Drosophila melanogaster: one gene and its partner. The protein of the gene in region 1 interacts with the protein of each later gene in a pairwise test. Each region holds a gene or a part of one and is shown on either strand. Other genes may lie near its edges.

Region 1 (4,960 bases):
GCCGAGACGAAACCAAAACAAGAATATAAGCTTTTGGGCGAGTTTTCCGACAGTGCGATACCTCCTGGTACCTGGTAATCAATAATCTGATTGGTCTAGATAAGACCACCGACTTCTTGGATATTTTCCAAATGAAGAGAGAAATCAAGATCTTGCATCTTATTATACAGACCATTTGCTATCACATTTCAAGTTTAATTGCAATAATTAAATGTAATTTAAATTGTAGTAGCAATTATAAACAAATTGATTAAGCAATATGGTAAAAAAAAACGTATATTAAAGTAATCCAAACATACGCTGTACATAATAAGTGTACTCTGGCCATCTAGCGGTACCTTGCAATCCGCAAATACCGCACCAGTATCTGAATCTGTGTATCTGTGCAACATAATTTTGTCATTACGAGGCGACACACACCCTCTTGGCCGGCCTGCATATGGGCAACAGATGTTGGGCAAATACAGAAACGAGAGCTCCGATATGCCAGATACAAGATACAAGATGCGACCAGGTAGTGCCACGCCCCTGCCCCTATACCGCCCCTATCCCGCCCCGAAAGTTGACTTTTGTTGGCTTGCCTTTAAGAGTTTTTGCTTCGTTGCCGTATATTTATTCATATTTTCTTTTTTTTTGATTTTTTTGGTTTTCGAGGCAAAGCGTGGGCAGTTGAGGTACATTTTTCCTCTTTCAGATAAGTTTGCTACACGTTCAGTGCACAGAGCAAAGCAGATCATTAAATGGATCCAATAATATTCCAGATTCGAAAATTTTAAAACTTTTAGCATATGTATAAATTCATACATGCTTGTGAATAAAATGATCTCTTATCACATAATACCACACCACATTAATGTTTCTATCTTTGTTGGGGGTTCCCCCCCTGGGGTTTCGCATCTCCTTCTGCGTCTCTCAAAATCCAAGCCTCCCTCCTTTTTGGTTTACGAATGGCCGAGTCAACAAAGAATTCATAATGAGAACAACAAAGGCTGCACTGGCAGTCAAGTGTGGAGCCAAGAATACAAAAGGAGAGAGCCCGGAGAGAGGTGTAAGTAGTGTGCGCTCCGCGAAGAGGCGCACAAAAAGGAAGTAACTAAAAATAACAAACATCTCGTTTCGGTTTGTAAGGTGGAATGAACTCAGAACCCGCGATGGAGAAGATGCCGAAAAGGAGACGCCGAGGAGACAAACCAGACACCCAGAGATCCATGCCCCAAAACTGATTGAACTACAGTGATCACTTGGTTAGAGGCACCCTAATCATTAACACGCCTGGCACACACGATTGAAAATGAAGTCACCACTTTAAAATAACATATATACTCATTTAAACTCTCCCATTTACCCAAATGTGTTCTAAATACCTACAGTCTCTGTAATACATGTTTACAATAAATCCCGCCAGATTCTCGGAATTAAAGTGCTTTGCAAATATTTTTTGAACAATTAAAAAAGATATAAACCAAACTGTAATGGCATCGATTTGTATACTACAATAGTTTAATGTTCTTTTCATGAATTTTTGGAATACAAACACAAAGTTCTAATACATTCTAGAGTTAAATATCTGAACATTATAACAAGAATATCCAAATTTCTTCTTTCACCACATTTCATCACATTTATTATATATAACAATTTCCTAATGGTACTGTAAAGTGTTTGATGAATAAAAGGATATTATCACAATAACAAACAGTAACTGGGTTTATCGTTTGATTCAGAAAAGGCTAGCTAGTGATCGTTATCCTTCCGCTGAGTCTTGGATCCGGGATTAGGATGATGCTGTGACTTGGAGGGATCTCACTCGGTTTGAGTTTTAGCGACTTACCTTCGTCCAGCAGGCGTTCGACGTGGGTGAAGACGTTGGGGAAGGCGGCCAGTTGCTTGCGGTCCTTGAGCAACTGGGCCAGATAGTCGGCGATGCTCTGTGTGCTCTGCTGCTGCTGCTGTGGGGTCAAGTGCTGCGGGGTCATGGGGACCACCACCTGCGGCGCCTGTTGCTGCTGCTGTGCCTGAGCCTGAGCCTGGGCTTGGGCTTGAGCCTGCTGCTGTTGCGCGACCGCAACAACTGCTGCGGCTGCCTGTTGCTGCAAGTGCTGCTGCAGTTGCTGTTGCACAACGGCTTTGCTCTCACAGACACTCATTTTGTTGCGTGCGTGTGTGATGTGTGGGTTTTTGGGAACTTTTTGTTTTGTTCTCGACGAGATTCTGGTTTTCAACTTTCAACTTTCCTTGGGTCTCTGCTTTCTTTACTTGGTGCACACTTCTTTTTTATTTGTTTTTGCTACTTTTAACACGTTACTGTGGGAGTTGGGAAATTCATTAAGTTTCGTACGCGAGCGATATTAAAAACGGAAAACGAAATGAAAACAACTCCGCCCAAAAGTATTTTTTCCGATCGGCAGCAACAACAATGCAGGGCGAGAGATACTGAGAGAGCGAGAGAGCGCAGCAAGTCGAAAGCGAAGGCAGAAAATTCCTCGGCGATCGCTCACTCACACACGGACAATAAACAGTAAAACTGTATATGCGACGGAGATGAATGAAAGCAGAATGTCAAAATAGCTGCCTCTCTCTCTCACCCTCGCTCATTTGGCTGCTGCAACAGCAAGTACAACAAAAAAGTATTTAAATAAATTTTATATTCAAATTTCTACGTTTTGAAGATACAAAGGTATAAATTCCTTTGCCTGGAGATGTACCGAGTGCACAAGGCCACTTAACCGATTTAAAAATGCAAGAAAACTCGCAGAAATATGCACAGTTGCTGATTATGTATTTGTTGTTGCTACTGGATGGCTTTGGATTTTATTCATTTCGTTTTGTTTGGAAAGTATTTTTTTTAAACACACTTTTCTTCTCTGAGGACTCCTATCCTTTGTTTATTTGATATATGTGTATATGGATTTTATTCGAGTCGGGGAATAGCGAACGGATCTCGGGACTTTACTGAACGATTCCTCCTAATTTTCCTACCACTGAACCGTGCGCAAAGAAAGAGAAAAAGAAACTGAATGCGAAGCGAAGAGCACAAAACGTTGTAAGTGTGAGATCATGCCAGTTCGATCGTGGGGTGGTGGTTTCAATGTGCTCTCGTTTCTCTGCTCTCTCGCCCAGTGACGTCACAAAGTGCGATTGCTTTTAATAAATATTTAAAAGCCAATATTTGGTTATATATTTGGGGGTATTTTTGATCTAAATTAACTAATTTCTAATATATCAGTGCTTTTAACTACTCGGTGACGTTTAGTCAATATTTGCATAACCATTTCCATAAAAAATACGCCAATACCCATCTTGTGACGTCAGTTTCTCTCTGACTTGGCTCTCTCGCACCCTACTGCCAGCATGCGAGATCACCCATCAGCGTTGCCACTCCGCACAAACAGAGTTGCGCAGCTGGTTAACATATTACACATATTTTAGCCAAAAGTGCGAGTATAAAAGTTAATAAATGGCCAAATAAGTTAATAGCAACTAAATACAAAGGTGGGCCATTAATATTCTTCCAAATGGAGGCTAGTTAATGCATTAATTGACTAACAACATTCAGCGTTGCCACCTGGTAGCTGGGTGGGCCACAATTTGGCGCGTTGGCGTTGATTTTGAATTAATTAAGACACTGCGCTGTGGAGGCATTAATTGCGCACGGAAATTGCTGGCAGATTAGAACCAAGCGGCATTTTGTTTCGCCGGACATATGCGGGGGCTGGCATCTGGGCCCCAAGTCCAAAACACCATGCAAATGAGCCCCCGAACTCGTACTGGCCAAATGTTGGTGTTAACTTGGTTAACTCTGCTGCAAAACGCGAAATGTATGTGGGAAAATTGGCATTCGCGAGCGTTTCGATGGACGCACCATATAAGCGACCCTAGGCCGGCGACAACTTTTACTTTCCATCGCGAAAGACATTTTTCGCTGGCTTCCGTGTGGTTGGCGAATTTCACAAAAATTCAACGCAGTATTAAGATATTGCGTACTAAAAATAATTAATTATCGATAAAGTGTATCAAAATAAAACAATCTTTTAAGTCTACAAAGCTACTTTTATTCTAAAATTTTACTCGTGTTCTGTTCACATTTAGGTCCTTCCACTATTACAACACTTAATGCCAGTGGATCGGTGAACTTATTGTGTGTTGCCTGTGTCTTCAACAATATTTTGATATACATATATGTATGAGGATCACTTCATTGCAACAGTCTTCCCCATCGGAACCCAAAATTTCTGGGGCGGCACATCTAGCCAACGGCAGGCATGGGGCAAGATCCGATTTTTGAAACCAGCATACACCAAAATGAGACGTGAAAGTTTAAAGTTGTGGCCAAAGTTGTGGATGGACATCGGATTGGTCGTTCCATTGGAAAGCAGACTCCCACCACCGGACCTCACCTGGCCAAGTTTCACAGTCCGGCCACAAGTCCCACCAAATTTGTGTGCACTTGGCTCAAACCGATCGGAATTGGCCTGTGTGTGTGGGCCGACATTAAATGCGTTGTACGGCCCCATTATACAGTTTTAGTGCCATTGAAAAATGTGTCAATGTGCGTGGCGATTGAGACATTGTATGCCTATGGATGGATATCCGATTTAAATCTCTGGGCCACAGACCAAAGCCCTTTCCAATCCGCACACCCACGTCGCCCAGTATCGGCCCATTGGACATCTGGCCAAGTCCGAAGTGCCAAGTTTTCCGTGGGCCGTTAATCTCTCTAGTGCTTTTGGAATTTGCCCTTTTGAATGTGGTGTTTTACATTGTGAGTGGGTCGTTTTGGGCGGCACTTTCGGTTTTGGAAAACCGAAATGGCCGCAAAATAAAAGTTTTCCAGCAGCTGTAAAGTTAGGCGAGAAAATGCTTGAATTGGTTCAAGTTTTGTGTAAACTGAAAAGTTCAGAAATTTTGGTTATGCACCATTAGTTCAACAACCTAAATCTAAAGTCGGAAATATCCCACA
Region 2 (3,932 bases), about 12 Mb from region 1:
TTCACTGAAATTTAATACAATGATTTATGTATATCTTCGAAAGTAATCCCATAAATCATGTTTGCAAATGATAGGCTTCTTTGGAAACACTTCTCATTATGATTTAATCTGGTGGTAATCACTATCACTAGTTAGACATTTTTAAGGCAGATTTTCTCCGAGTGTACTGTTGCACCCAGCAAGACGTTTATCGCCTTATCACACAGGAGAGCCCAACTTTTGACCATATGGTCAATGCGATCTACGGCGGCCAATAAATGATTATCACGACGATTTTATTAGCCAATTGTGCCACTGAATCAGTGGAAATAAATTAATAGACTTTCGGTGCAAAAAGGAACGTCACAAATGACTGTATATAAATAAATACGCTTGAATATCTAATCGGCGGTGCCCAGAAATGTGTTAATCTTCAGCCTGATTGTGCACTGAGTACACTGGAATTCGTGACGTAGCCAAGGTAAACAAATGGTCTTATCTGTGCAAGAGTTTTGTGGTTTATTATTTGGCAAACAAGTGGAAATATTCAGTCGGCCGAAACGGCTGGAGTTGCGTACATCGTCGGCTTAAAGGGGGTTCGTCCAGTCCAACAGATATCCGTCCATCTGTGCTGCAGTGGCTCCCTTCCGGATTTTACAGCTCACGACGAAGCAGGTGATCGGTTCGTTCTGCGCATCGTTCAACGTGACAGTGACATCCGCCGTTATTTCCGGGAACGAAGGCTCCACATAGAAGTTGAACTGATACGTGACATCCTCGTCCTTGTCGATGGGACAGATGGCACCGTACAGGAGATTGCGGCACACATCGGACACTTCGTCGGGTAGGGCATATGGCAGATTCATGCCCAAAACCTTTGCCGTTGTGGTGGCCGTAATGCTCTTGATATTGTTGTTATCTGCAAGACATCGATGATGAGATTCAAGTGGACACGGATATAGATGGCCGAAACTTACTGCCCAGGAAGTGCACCTCCATGACTGCTATGGTTCCTTTGTACACAACGCACGGCGGTTCCTCGCAATCCTTAATATTCACATCCAGTGGAAACGGCTTATTTTTGCCTGAAAGCGGAAATATGTTTTCGAAGAATCAAAAGGTGAGCTCAAAAGAAGGCTATGTTTTTTTTTCTAAGAGATTAGCTGTTTGTTGATAAGCCATATCAACCTGGCCAACAGATACACGTTAGGACTTTAAATTTCTCTCAGAACGTATTTTTGGCAATAGTTTTCGAGACAAAGTCTGCGAAGTGAATCATCGTCATAGAAATCTGTTAGAATCATGAATCCAATCTAACAAACTGGTCGATTTAAAATGATTTGATGTTTTTCCAACAAAATAAAAGAGTTTTTAGCTACTTACACTGCTGGACATTGGTGGCATTGACTGTGGCCAGAATTAGAGCCAAAGTTACAACGATTCGCAGCATTTTTCTGGATGGAATCTTTTTTAATCTTACTTCAGAAGAATACAATATACATTGAGTACGCGCGCACGCAGATGACAATCGTGAGTGGAATCGATGGGGCTGGTGGAGAACCTTAAATAGCCCCGTGTTCGAACGATGACCAACGCCTGTAGAGAGCAGTTTATCAAAATCGGTGGCTATTGCCATTGATACGGGGCCGCCACGCAGGTGTTACAAAAGAAAACCACTGTGGCCTGCAGGTGTTGCGCTCTGACGAAGAGCAAACAATGCCGATTCGAATCAGTAAATAACGTAAATTTGGCTGATAAGTAGGGAGAGGCTGAACTACAATGTTGCCGGCTATACCTAGTAAACAAAACAGCCAGAGGGTGAATATGTAAGCAAGGCGGAATATTGGCTCGAAGGGTTAATAAACATATAATTTAAGGTTTGATCGAGCAATCAAATTTAAAAAAGCGGCCGATTAATTTCCTATCGATCGTGATTGAAGACTTTGTGTCATCGAAGACTGCACATCTCTAACTATGGCCGTTCAAAACATAAAATGTAAACAAAAGTCATTCAAGCACAATCTGACCAAAATCAAATATAATGGAAAGTAACGAAGATGTAGAGCGCCTTCTGTGTCAAAAGTATCCTGGTCTGGCAGCGGAGCTTCAGCCAAGTGGAGCGTGCATCATCAGAGGAGTTTTGGGCAGTGAGGTAAGTTATCCGTATTTCAATTTTTCCCGCCAAACTAATAATGATTGTATAATTAAGGATACATGGCGCCGCCTTAAACTCTATCTGCCACACCACCCAGCTCTTCATGGTTTCCAGCTCTACGTCCAGGAAAGCTTGGAGTACAAGCTGTACACATCGGCTAATCTCAAGTTACAGGACGATTGGCTGCTGGAGGATTTTCTGGACCATTTGCCAAAGATTCTTCCTGCCCAAAAAGCCCCAACAGTGCCAAAGGAACTATGTCGGGAGGGGAACATATATTACGATATCCTGGCCTTGTACAAGTCAAACGAGTACTGCCTGCAAGTGGACGAGGCCTGTTCCATGATTCGTTTCAGCGAATTCACCGACTTCGAGCAGCATTATCTGGAGCTTAAGATCCCGTCTCTTCTCTTGCTTGATCACAGTTTGCCCGACTGCGTATCGCTGGGTGAAATGCTGACCAAGAGTGCTGGAAACCTAGAGGAGGCCCTAAACCTCTTTCGCAAGCTTCTCGAGGATCTGCGTCCCTTCTACGACAACTTCATGGATATCGACGAGCTTTGTCATGTGCTGCAACCATCGCCCATCAGCAGCAAACACAAAACACGACTGTTCCCTCTCAAGGATCGCGTCTACTTGAAGCTGACCATCGCGGATCCCTTTGCCTGCATTGCATCCATGTCGCTAAAGATCATTGGGCCCACGGAAGAGGTGGCCCGCCTGCGCCACGTTCTCAGCGATGGTCTAAGTAACTGGGACTCCGAAATGAACATTCACAAGAACCTACTCCGAATGTTCGACTTGTGCTACTTTCCCATGCCAGACTGGTCGGATGGACCCAAGCTGGATGAAGAGGACAACGAAGAGCTGCGCTGTAACATTTGCTTTGCCTATCGCCTGGATGGTGGCGAGGTGCCCCTCGTCTCCTGCGACAATGCCAAATGTGTGCTAAAGTGCCATGCCGTCTGTTTGGAGGAGTGGTTTAAGACTCTGATGGATGGCAAGACCTTTCTGGAGGTCTCCTTCGGCCAGTGTCCCTTCTGCAAGGCGGTAATATTGCCTATCATTTCATCTATTGCCAATGTACAACTGCTTTATCTTTTTCAGAAGCTGTCCACCTCATTTGCGGCACTTTTAAATGATTGAAATTTGTAACCATAATATTAAAAGCAAATATTTAAGAGTAACTTATTATTCAAATAATCGTAAATATCAATTAGGTTTACATCCACGCCATCAAACGCCGTGTGTTTTTGCTAAAAGTAGTTGTGAAACGAATTAAACAGGTCCCACCTGATGGACCGCATCATTCTCCTGACGACGCCAGCAGCAGAGTTGACATCTGAAAAATCGCTTCACAACGCGCCAGCCTCATTCCATATCGCTTGAGATCATCCGCATCATATTCCGCACCACATAGGTGGTTCCATTGAAGGGCGAGTACTCGCTGGCTTTTCCAATCCGCACGCTGGAGCCGGCCAAACCGAAAAACACCTTGGGTGTTAGGTTGGGATGCACGGCCTTGAACTCCCACCCGACGTGCTGGGCGCAGAACTTGCACAGAATAATGTGCCACTGATAGCCGGGGAACCAGCTAAACTTTGTGGACGGCTCGCCGCTGTAGCCGATGGCATGGGATATCACCCGGTACACGGTGTTTGTCTCGTGGATGTAGCCCTCTGTAAAGTAGTTAGTTTCAGTGAATTCATTGCTTATAGAAGACGGACATTGGACTTCTCCTTATGCTTACCTGGATTGCAATACTGTGTCTGCACACCGTGTTTGGACATGGCAAAGA

Evidence for each region.
Region 2: the proteins of how (region 1) and Fancl interact in a two-hybrid assay, tested with the Drosophila melanogaster proteins (one large-scale study listed by BioGRID).

The regions. Positions count from the first base shown.
Region 1 is NT_033777.3:22,040,251-22,045,210, reverse strand, and holds the start of how (held out wings), read right to left. Parts: upstream 3,021-4,960; 5' UTR 2,856-3,020; intron 2,305-2,855; 5' UTR 2,148-2,304; coding exon 1,832-2,147; intron 1-1,831. UniProt on the Drosophila melanogaster protein: RNA-binding protein involved in muscle development and dosage compensation. Vital role in steroid regulation of muscle development and to control heart rate.
Region 2 is NT_033777.3:10,050,895-10,054,826, reverse strand, and holds Fancl (fancl), read left to right. Parts: upstream 1-1,957; 5' UTR 1,958-2,020; coding exon 2,021-2,131; intron 2,132-2,188; coding exon 2,189-3,184; intron 3,185-3,241; coding exon 3,242-3,280; 3' UTR 3,281-3,319; downstream 3,320-3,932. Other genes in the region: Npc2e (Niemann-Pick type C-2e), read right to left, coding at 567-898, 957-1,064, 1,363-1,429; ohgt (ohgata), read right to left, coding at 3,506-3,813, 3,885-3,932. UniProt on the Drosophila melanogaster protein: Ubiquitin ligase protein that mediates monoubiquitination of Fancd2. Ubiquitination of Fancd2 is stimulated by ionising radiation.